Macaca mulatta: one gene and its partner. The protein of the gene in region 1 interacts with the protein of each later gene in a biochemical or structural test. Links are inferred from orthologs where the notes say so. Each region holds a gene or a part of one and is shown on either strand. Other genes may lie near its edges. The genes, in order: HUS1 and RHNO1.

Evidence for each region.
Region 2: the proteins of HUS1 (region 1) and RHNO1 form a complex in vitro, tested with the Homo sapiens proteins (2 studies listed by BioGRID). The link is inferred for Macaca mulatta from reciprocal best matches to the Homo sapiens genes HUS1 and RHNO1.

The regions. Positions count from the first base shown.
Region 1 is NC_133408.1:80,603,683-80,607,965, reverse strand, and holds the start of HUS1 (checkpoint protein HUS1), read right to left. Parts: upstream 3,097-4,283; 5' UTR 3,060-3,096; coding exon 3,008-3,059; intron 2,343-3,007; coding exon 2,215-2,342; intron 2,123-2,214; coding exon 1,946-2,122; intron 354-1,945; coding exon 246-353; intron 1-245. UniProt on the Homo sapiens protein: Component of the 9-1-1 cell-cycle checkpoint response complex that plays a major role in DNA repair. The 9-1-1 complex is recruited to DNA lesion upon damage by the RAD17-replication factor C (RFC) clamp loader complex.
Region 2 is NC_133416.1:3,787,178-3,790,586, forward strand, and holds the end of RHNO1 (RAD9, HUS1, RAD1-interacting nuclear orphan protein 1), read left to right. Parts: intron 1-1,261; coding exon 1,262-1,816; 3' UTR 1,817-2,823; downstream 2,824-3,409. UniProt on the Homo sapiens protein: Involved in microhomology-mediated end-joining (MMEJ) DNA repair by promoting recruitment of polymerase theta (POLQ) to DNA damage sites during mitosis.

The DNA of each region.
Region 1 (4,283 bases):
TTTCAGTTGTGTTTTAAATGATGTTGCTGAGTGAGACATTTTCTACATATAGGAAGGCATGACATTTCTATCATATGCAACATGTTTTAAGATGTTTTATGTAAATAACAAAAGGCAAATATTCTAATGTTTTCCTTAAGAATCCTTTAAAAATAAAATATACTGCAAGACTACAACTGAAATTAGAGAATTCAAGTCATGCCATTTAATGTGGGGTGTACAACAGGATTGCAGGCATCACCTACATCAGGATCTGGGACCACCGGTTCTTGCAAGTCCTTCCACAATTTCCTAGGAATCACCTTTATAGGGATGTCATGTGTCACAATGCGGCTACTGCTTGACATAGATAACTGCCAAGAAAAGAATTAATTTAAAAATATTTTTATGTTGTTAATATTAAGCAACAACAAAACCACCCAAAGACCCGAGGACAAAAAAGTTGAAATGCCAAATCTAAGTGGAATGCTGTCAATTTATTCACTGAAAAGCCATTCGACCAATATTGATGGTGCCAATATTTACGGAACAGACTCTGGGTACTTTCAGGAACTGGGAAGTGTGGTAAATAAGACAAAAAGGTCCTCAATATTCCAGTGGAACAAACAGATCAATAAAAATGCAAACAAATGAAATTGCATGACATGCTCATTAGAGTCGTGAGAAAGCAAACCACAGTGACCAGAGTGAGTGTGGGGGAGTTTCCTTAGACTGACGAGGTGACATTTCAGATACCACCAAAAGCAGCAGCCGTGGGAAGACAGGAACAAGGGGACAGGGCTTCAGGCTGGGGAAACAGCACATGTAAAGCCATGAGGCAGAAAGAAGCAAGCCTGCTATGTTGATGCAACCAAGAGAAGGCCACTCTTTGGGCATAGGACACTCAGGGGGCTGCAGTTTCTAAACAGTTAAAAGGCAAACTATATTTACTTCTAGGGGCTTCTATGAGACTCGCAGAACAAAATATCTTGCACTTTTGGACATAAAATATTATACGTTACTATCTTGCTTTTCCTTAATAGGAAAAACATAACAAACTTATGTTGTGACATGAAATACCCTAATTAGCTCTAAGAACTGCCTGACTGCAGAGTCGAGAGTTATGAAGAAAAGTTGGGTCGGGCGCGGTGGTTCATGCCTATAATCGCAGCACTTTGGGAGGCCTTTGAGAGGACGAGGTAGGTGGATCACTTGAGGTCAGGAGTTCAAGACCAGCCTGGCCAACATGGTGAAACCCCAACTCTACTAAAAAAATACAAAAATTAGCCGGGTGTGGTGGTGGGCGCCTGTAATCCCAGCTGCTTGGGAGGCTGAGGCATGAAAATCACTTGAACCTGGGAGGCGGAGGTTGCAGTGAGCCGAGATCGCACCACTGCACTCCAGCCTGGGTGACAAGAGAGAGACTCAGTCTCGGAAAAAAAAAGGAAATACGAACCTCATTCCATGAGTAACAAGAGCAACTCTGGGTTGTATGTGTGCGCATGAGGTTGTGTATTTGTGTGTTTGGAGGACAGCTGTGCACTAAATTCATCTGGCAGTAGCATATAAAACATATGTGTACTGAACAATGAGGGGCCATTTAAAGGTTATCAGAGCAGATGAGGCAGGGTAGGAGTGGGGAGAAAATGTGTCAACGGTGAAAATGCATAGAAACCATGATTTCTAGACAAGGTGACAATACCACTACAAGAAATAGAGAGGCTGGAAGTTTTATGGCTTGGAAAAAGCAGCAGTCTAGCCGAATGCATAGGATAACAACACTATTTTAAAATGAGGAGGAACTGACTCTAATGCAAAATATAGTTATGGACCAGCTCTTTAAATTTAAATAAACCAAATAGCTTTCAACAATATTTATTGCTAAAGAGGCTAGGCTAACTATGTCTATTCCTTCGAAGCCAAGACTTCTGTGGGAAATTTCTGAAACCCTGACTCTCCTACTCACCAGCTCCACGGAGACTGTGAGGCAGGGAAAGTGTTTATTAGTCAGTTTGATTTTCAAGGCTCTGGCATTCTGGGCAGTTTTCAAGGCTCGAGATAAGTTTTCCGATGTTAGCTCTAAATAAATCTCATTGTTTTCTGCAGAGACACCCTCCATTTGAAATTCGTTGAAGAAGTTCTCCTAAGGGAAAAACATGGGGGATGAGGCAGGGCACTTGTGGTCTTTCCAGAGACAATCTGCAGATTGCAGGCCTCTCAGAAGTTTTTGCTCACCTGTTCCAGCTCACACCACATGCTCACTCCTCCATTAGCCAGCTTGTCACAAAGGATGAAGTTAAGCTTATCAGGGCTGATGCGGAGGGTGCAGGTTTTGGCAAGCTTGGCTATCATGTTACTGATTCCTAAAGCAGGGGTTAAAATAAGGAATCACTAAAACGCACATCATGTATCCTAGAGACCAACTTATTTTACAGAATTTCTTGTTCATCATGGTGCAACTTCTCGGTGGAAAAATAACCACTTACATTGGTATCACACTGGAAAGTATGATGTCACGCAATTCTCCCAACAAACCCGGGGAGATGTACAGCATACATCATCAGTGCTCAAATAAAAAAACAGGCACCTACTAGTCATTCATTCATTTAACACGAACTTATTGACTACTGGGTACCGCAGTACAGAGTTCAATGCAAGGTTAGGCACTGTCAGGGTGGAGGGACGAATGGGGCCTTGAAGGAATGTCAATGCCTGATAAAGCCGTCTGTGGGAGCAGTGGCCGCTTGCTTTTAAAGCCGCGTGATCGGAATCAAGTTTCAGAAACGTCCCTTGAAAGCCGTCTTCACCCCAAGTGCCCTACGATCCGACCCGCGCACTCCCGGCCCATCATCCCGCGGCCTCCACCAGCACCCCTATGCCTGCCCCATCCTCCCGCGGCCCCTCCCGCGGCTCATCTCGCTGCCCCTTCCACCGCCCATCCCCGCTCTGATCTTCCTCCGCGGTCCCCACCGCGCGCTCACTGCTTCCTTCCGTTCCTCCCTCGCTCCCCTCCGGCCTCCCTGCTCACGTGTGAAGTGGTTCAGACAGGCCCCGTCCACGATCTTAGCCCGAAACCTCATGGCCGCGCCTGCCGCAGCCGCGACGGCTTCTGTGGGTAACAGATAAGTGTCGCGCCCTGAGTGTCCCGGCCCGGAAACACGGCGGCGCGCACAGTGGTTCCGCCCGGCTCGGGCTACCCGGCTCTTGCCAGGATTGCCTCCGGGCCACGCCCCTGGGGTGGTGGGGCCAGGGGTCACGCCCCAGAGAAGGTGGGGTCACGGGTCAAGGATCACAGGTCACGCCCCGAGGAGGTGGGGTCCCAGTCTCCGGGTATGCCTCGGCGCTCCGGGGTAATGTGGGATCTGCTTTTAGTGAGGCGGTGGCTTCAAGCCCCAGATTTGGGGAGGTGGTTCTGAGAATTCACGTTTTGAAAGAATTTTGTGACACCTACTCCAAGTGCTATTTAAAAATATCCAAATAAAATTAGTCGTTTATAAAGGTTAAACAATATTATCTTAAATATACCTCTCTAAGGTAGAGCAGCTTTAAACCCTCTAGCCTCCGATGACGGTACCGGTACTTTGGTATTGAAGCATCTTGGTTGATTAAGGTTCTGAAAACTGTTTTAAATGACTTTTTAAAAAATTTAACATATTACTGGCTAGTTGGTAAAGACGGGATGCTTAAAGAACACTGACGTTAAGTGGTAATTCTGCAGTTTGCCTCAAGATGAACTTTATTACATCCGATAAAATTCTTATTAGCATAAATAATGTCATTAGGTTTTTTTAAAAGGAAAGAAATTTTAAAGGGGGAAATGAAGCAACAATTGTATCTAATTTGGTTTTTCAAAGACTAAAGATTATCTATGTTAATTGTTATTTTTAATGCCCTCTGCAAATAGGAGCCTAGACCGTTGTCTTTAACTTGACATATAGAATCAAGACAATGCAGATGATGATGATGATGATGATGATTTTGAGACGGAGTCTGGCTCTGTTACCCAGGCTGGAGTGCAATGGCGTGATCTCCGACCTCTGCAACCTCCACTTCCTGGGTTCAAGGGATTCTCCTGCCTCAGCTTCCCGAGTAGTTGGGATTACAGGCACAAGCTACCAGGCAAGGTTAATTTTTTTTTTTTTTAGACGGAGTCTCCCTCTATTGCCCAGGCTGGAGTGCAGTGGTGCGATCTCGGCTATAATCCCAAAGTGCTGGGATTATGGGCATGAGCCACTGTGCCAGGCCTAGATTATTTTTAAAGACACATGCACACGTTATGTTTATTGTGGCACTATTCACAATAG
Region 2 (3,409 bases), on another chromosome or scaffold:
CTGGGAAGAGAATATAGCTACTATACAACGGGAAAGTAGTGTAGTAAAAGGGCCAGACAAAAACATAAGCTTGGCTTGGGAGTATTTAATACATGTAACTTATTCAGGACTGCTTGCAAGAACCATAATACCTGCTACAGGACTGTGGAAGAAACCTAAACATCAGAATCTTGTGGATGAGAGTAGGAATGAACATTTATTGAACAGTCATTATATGCCAGGTCCTCTGCTAGTTCCTCCCCCCTGTGCTTGGAGTTGGCTTTGCATTATTTACTGAGGGCCTTCTTTGTTCCAGGCATTCTGCTAGGTGCTGGGAATCAAGAACAAGACCGCTGGTCTCTACCCTCATGAAGTTTAAAGATAAGTTATATCTAGGCCAGTCATTGTGGCTCACGCCTGTAATCCCAGCACTTTGGGAGGCTGAGGCGGGTGGATCACTTGAGGTCAGGAGTTTGAGACCAGTCTGACCAACATGGCAAAAACCTGACTCTACTAAAAATACAAAAATTGGCTGGGTGCCGTGGCTCATGCCTGTAATCCCAGCACTTTGGGAGGCCAAGGCAGGTGGATAACTTGAGGTCAGGAGTTCAAGGTCAACCTGCTCAAAATGGTAAAATTCCGTCTCTACAAAATATACAAAAAGTAGCTGGGCATGGTGGTGCGTGCCTGTAATCCCAGCTACACGGGAAGCTGAGGCAGTAGAATTGCTTGCATCAGGGAGGCAGAAGTTGCAGTGAGCAGAGCAGAGTGCCATTACACTCCAGCCTGGGTGACAAGAGCGAAACTCTGTCTCAAAAAAAAAAAAAAAAAATATATATATATATATACACACACACACACACACACACACATAGCTGGGCGTGGTGGCAGGCGCCTGTAGTCCTGGCTACTCAGGAAGCTGAAGCAGGAGAATCGCTGGAACCTGGGAGGCAGAAGTTGCAGTGAGCTGAGATTATGCCACTGCACTCCAGTCTAGATGTCGGATTGAGACTCCATCCCAGGGGGAAAAACGTTATATCCCTGTGGTGTGATGAACGGAAAGAGACATCATCCCCTTTCCTACACACGAGGAAGCTGAAGGCCAGAGAGATGGAATAATTTGCCGAAAGCATCCTGTTACTATCCCATTAGACAGCTATTTTAGTTTTGTGTTCATTACTACATTAGACCCCGATTTAAGAGTCTGGTCATCAGATATAGTTTCCTCTCTTAGGTTAGTACTTAGTTAGGCTCACCTCACTTTTTTTTTTTTTTTTTAAAGGTATCACCTGATTTTGATACAACAGCAGGAAGCTTGTTCCCAGCCTACCGGAAACACCACCACCAAAACCGGGCGAGACATTCAAGTCGAAAATCTACCACCTCCAAGTTTCCACATCTAACTTTTGAGAGTCCGCAGTCTTCCAATTCAGAGACATTGGGGATCCCCTTAATCCGGGAGTGCCCCAGTGAATCAGAAAAGGATGTTTCCAGAAGACCCTTAGTTCCAGTGCTCAGTCCCCAAAGCTGTGGGGACATGTCAGCACAGGCACTTCCGAGCTTACCTTATGTGTTCATTCCACCTGATATCCAGACCCCAGAGTCATCGTCTGTGAAGGAAGAACTCATTCCCCGGGATCAGAAGGAAAATAGCCTTCCAAGCTGCTCTCTTCACACTGGCACTCCTGATAGCCCAGAGCCTGGACCTGTTCTGGTTGAAGACACCCCCGAAGACAAGTATGGAATAAAGGTCACGTGGAGGAGACGACAGCACCTGCTTGCTTACCTCAGGGAGAGAGGGAAGCTGAGCAGAAGCCAATTCCTTGTGAAAAGCTGACTGCCATCAGCAATCTCAATAGAAAAGAGACATGTTTTTTGGAGTCATAAAGGAATTCAATTCCCAGGGGTTTTTTTTGTTTGTTTGTTTTATTTTGTTTTGTATTTTGAGATGTAATATCGCTCTGTTGCCCAGGCTGGAGTGCAGTGGTATGATCGCATCTCACTGCAACCTCCACTTCCTGGGTTCAAGCAATGCTCCTGCCTCAGCCTCCCCAGTAGCTGGGATTACAGGCACCTGCCACCATGCCTGGCTAATTTTTTTGTATTTTTAGTAGAGATGAGGTTTCTCCATGTTGGCCAGGCTGGTTTCAAAATCCTGACCTCAATTCATCTGCTGACCTGGACCTTCCAAAGTGCTGGGATTACAGGCGTGAGCCACCGCGCCCAGCCGAGATTTGTTTTCTAAGATACTTTGTGTCATGAACAGTTGAGTTTAGTGTCATGAACTATTCACTTTATATTTTTCTTGTATTAACTGTTTAAATTTTTAAAATATCTTGTAGTAACTCTTTAAAATGTATGTAAGTAAATGGCTACAGAAAGTTTTTTTAGAGAATCCTGCTTCTGTCAGTAATACAGCAATATTACCCCATCCACTAAAGGTCTTTGTCTCCTTAACCACTACTTGTTAATCCTTTAATCACCTCATTCAAACCAATTCATTCTGCATTTTTGAGTACCAGCTCTTGTCAGGCTCAATGGCAGCTTCTATGAGCTGATGGATGGAAAAAAATCAAACTGTGACTCTGTGGTTGACTGCCACCTCTGCAACCTTGACTCATCTGCTGAAAAGGCAAGAAGAAGAAAGGGCAGCAAGCCCTGTTTTAGGGACTATATGAGATCAGGGAAGATAAAGGGGACGTAGATGAGTTCTTTAGGATTGCCTATGTTTTGAGTTTTTGTTTCTAACTGAAGAAATCTATCAATATTAAATAGGGTGAGAAAATGATTTCTTAGAGTAACTGTTCAACTGTGTATAAATAAATAAGGAAAGTTTTCAATGAATATTACTTATTGTAATTAATGCAGAAGGACTTCCCTAGTCAACCGAATGTCTCAGATGGCCTTTTACTCAGATAAGTACATCTCATTAAACCCCATTCATCCAGCATTCATTCAGCTGGACCTACTGTGTCAGGTCCAGCCCCAACTAGATCAAGCAGGGATTACTCTGCATATTTTACAGATGGGAATTTGACGCAGAGAATGAACCATACACAGGGTCACACAGTGAGTGCAGGCTGACCCAGGCAGTGTAACGGTCCACTCAGCGTGTGCCTCCTAAAGTTCTAACTTGTAGGTTCAAAACCAATGTGGGAAACAACTTTGACCTTAGAATGCCATAAAGCCATTTGTGCAGAGACTCGTCAGGACTTAGGATGTTCTGTAGGGATGATGTGCATGTCGGTAGGGAGAAAGGGACTGACATTTGGGGACGGGATTTATTGGAGACAGAGTACACTTTTAGACAGGGGCTTCCACTGTGGGCTATGGATGTTTGAGGAAGGCCCACAGGCTGTAGAAAGGTAGATGGAAACAGTCTCCAGGACGGGCCCATGCCTGTAATCCCAGCACTTTGGGAGGCGGAGGC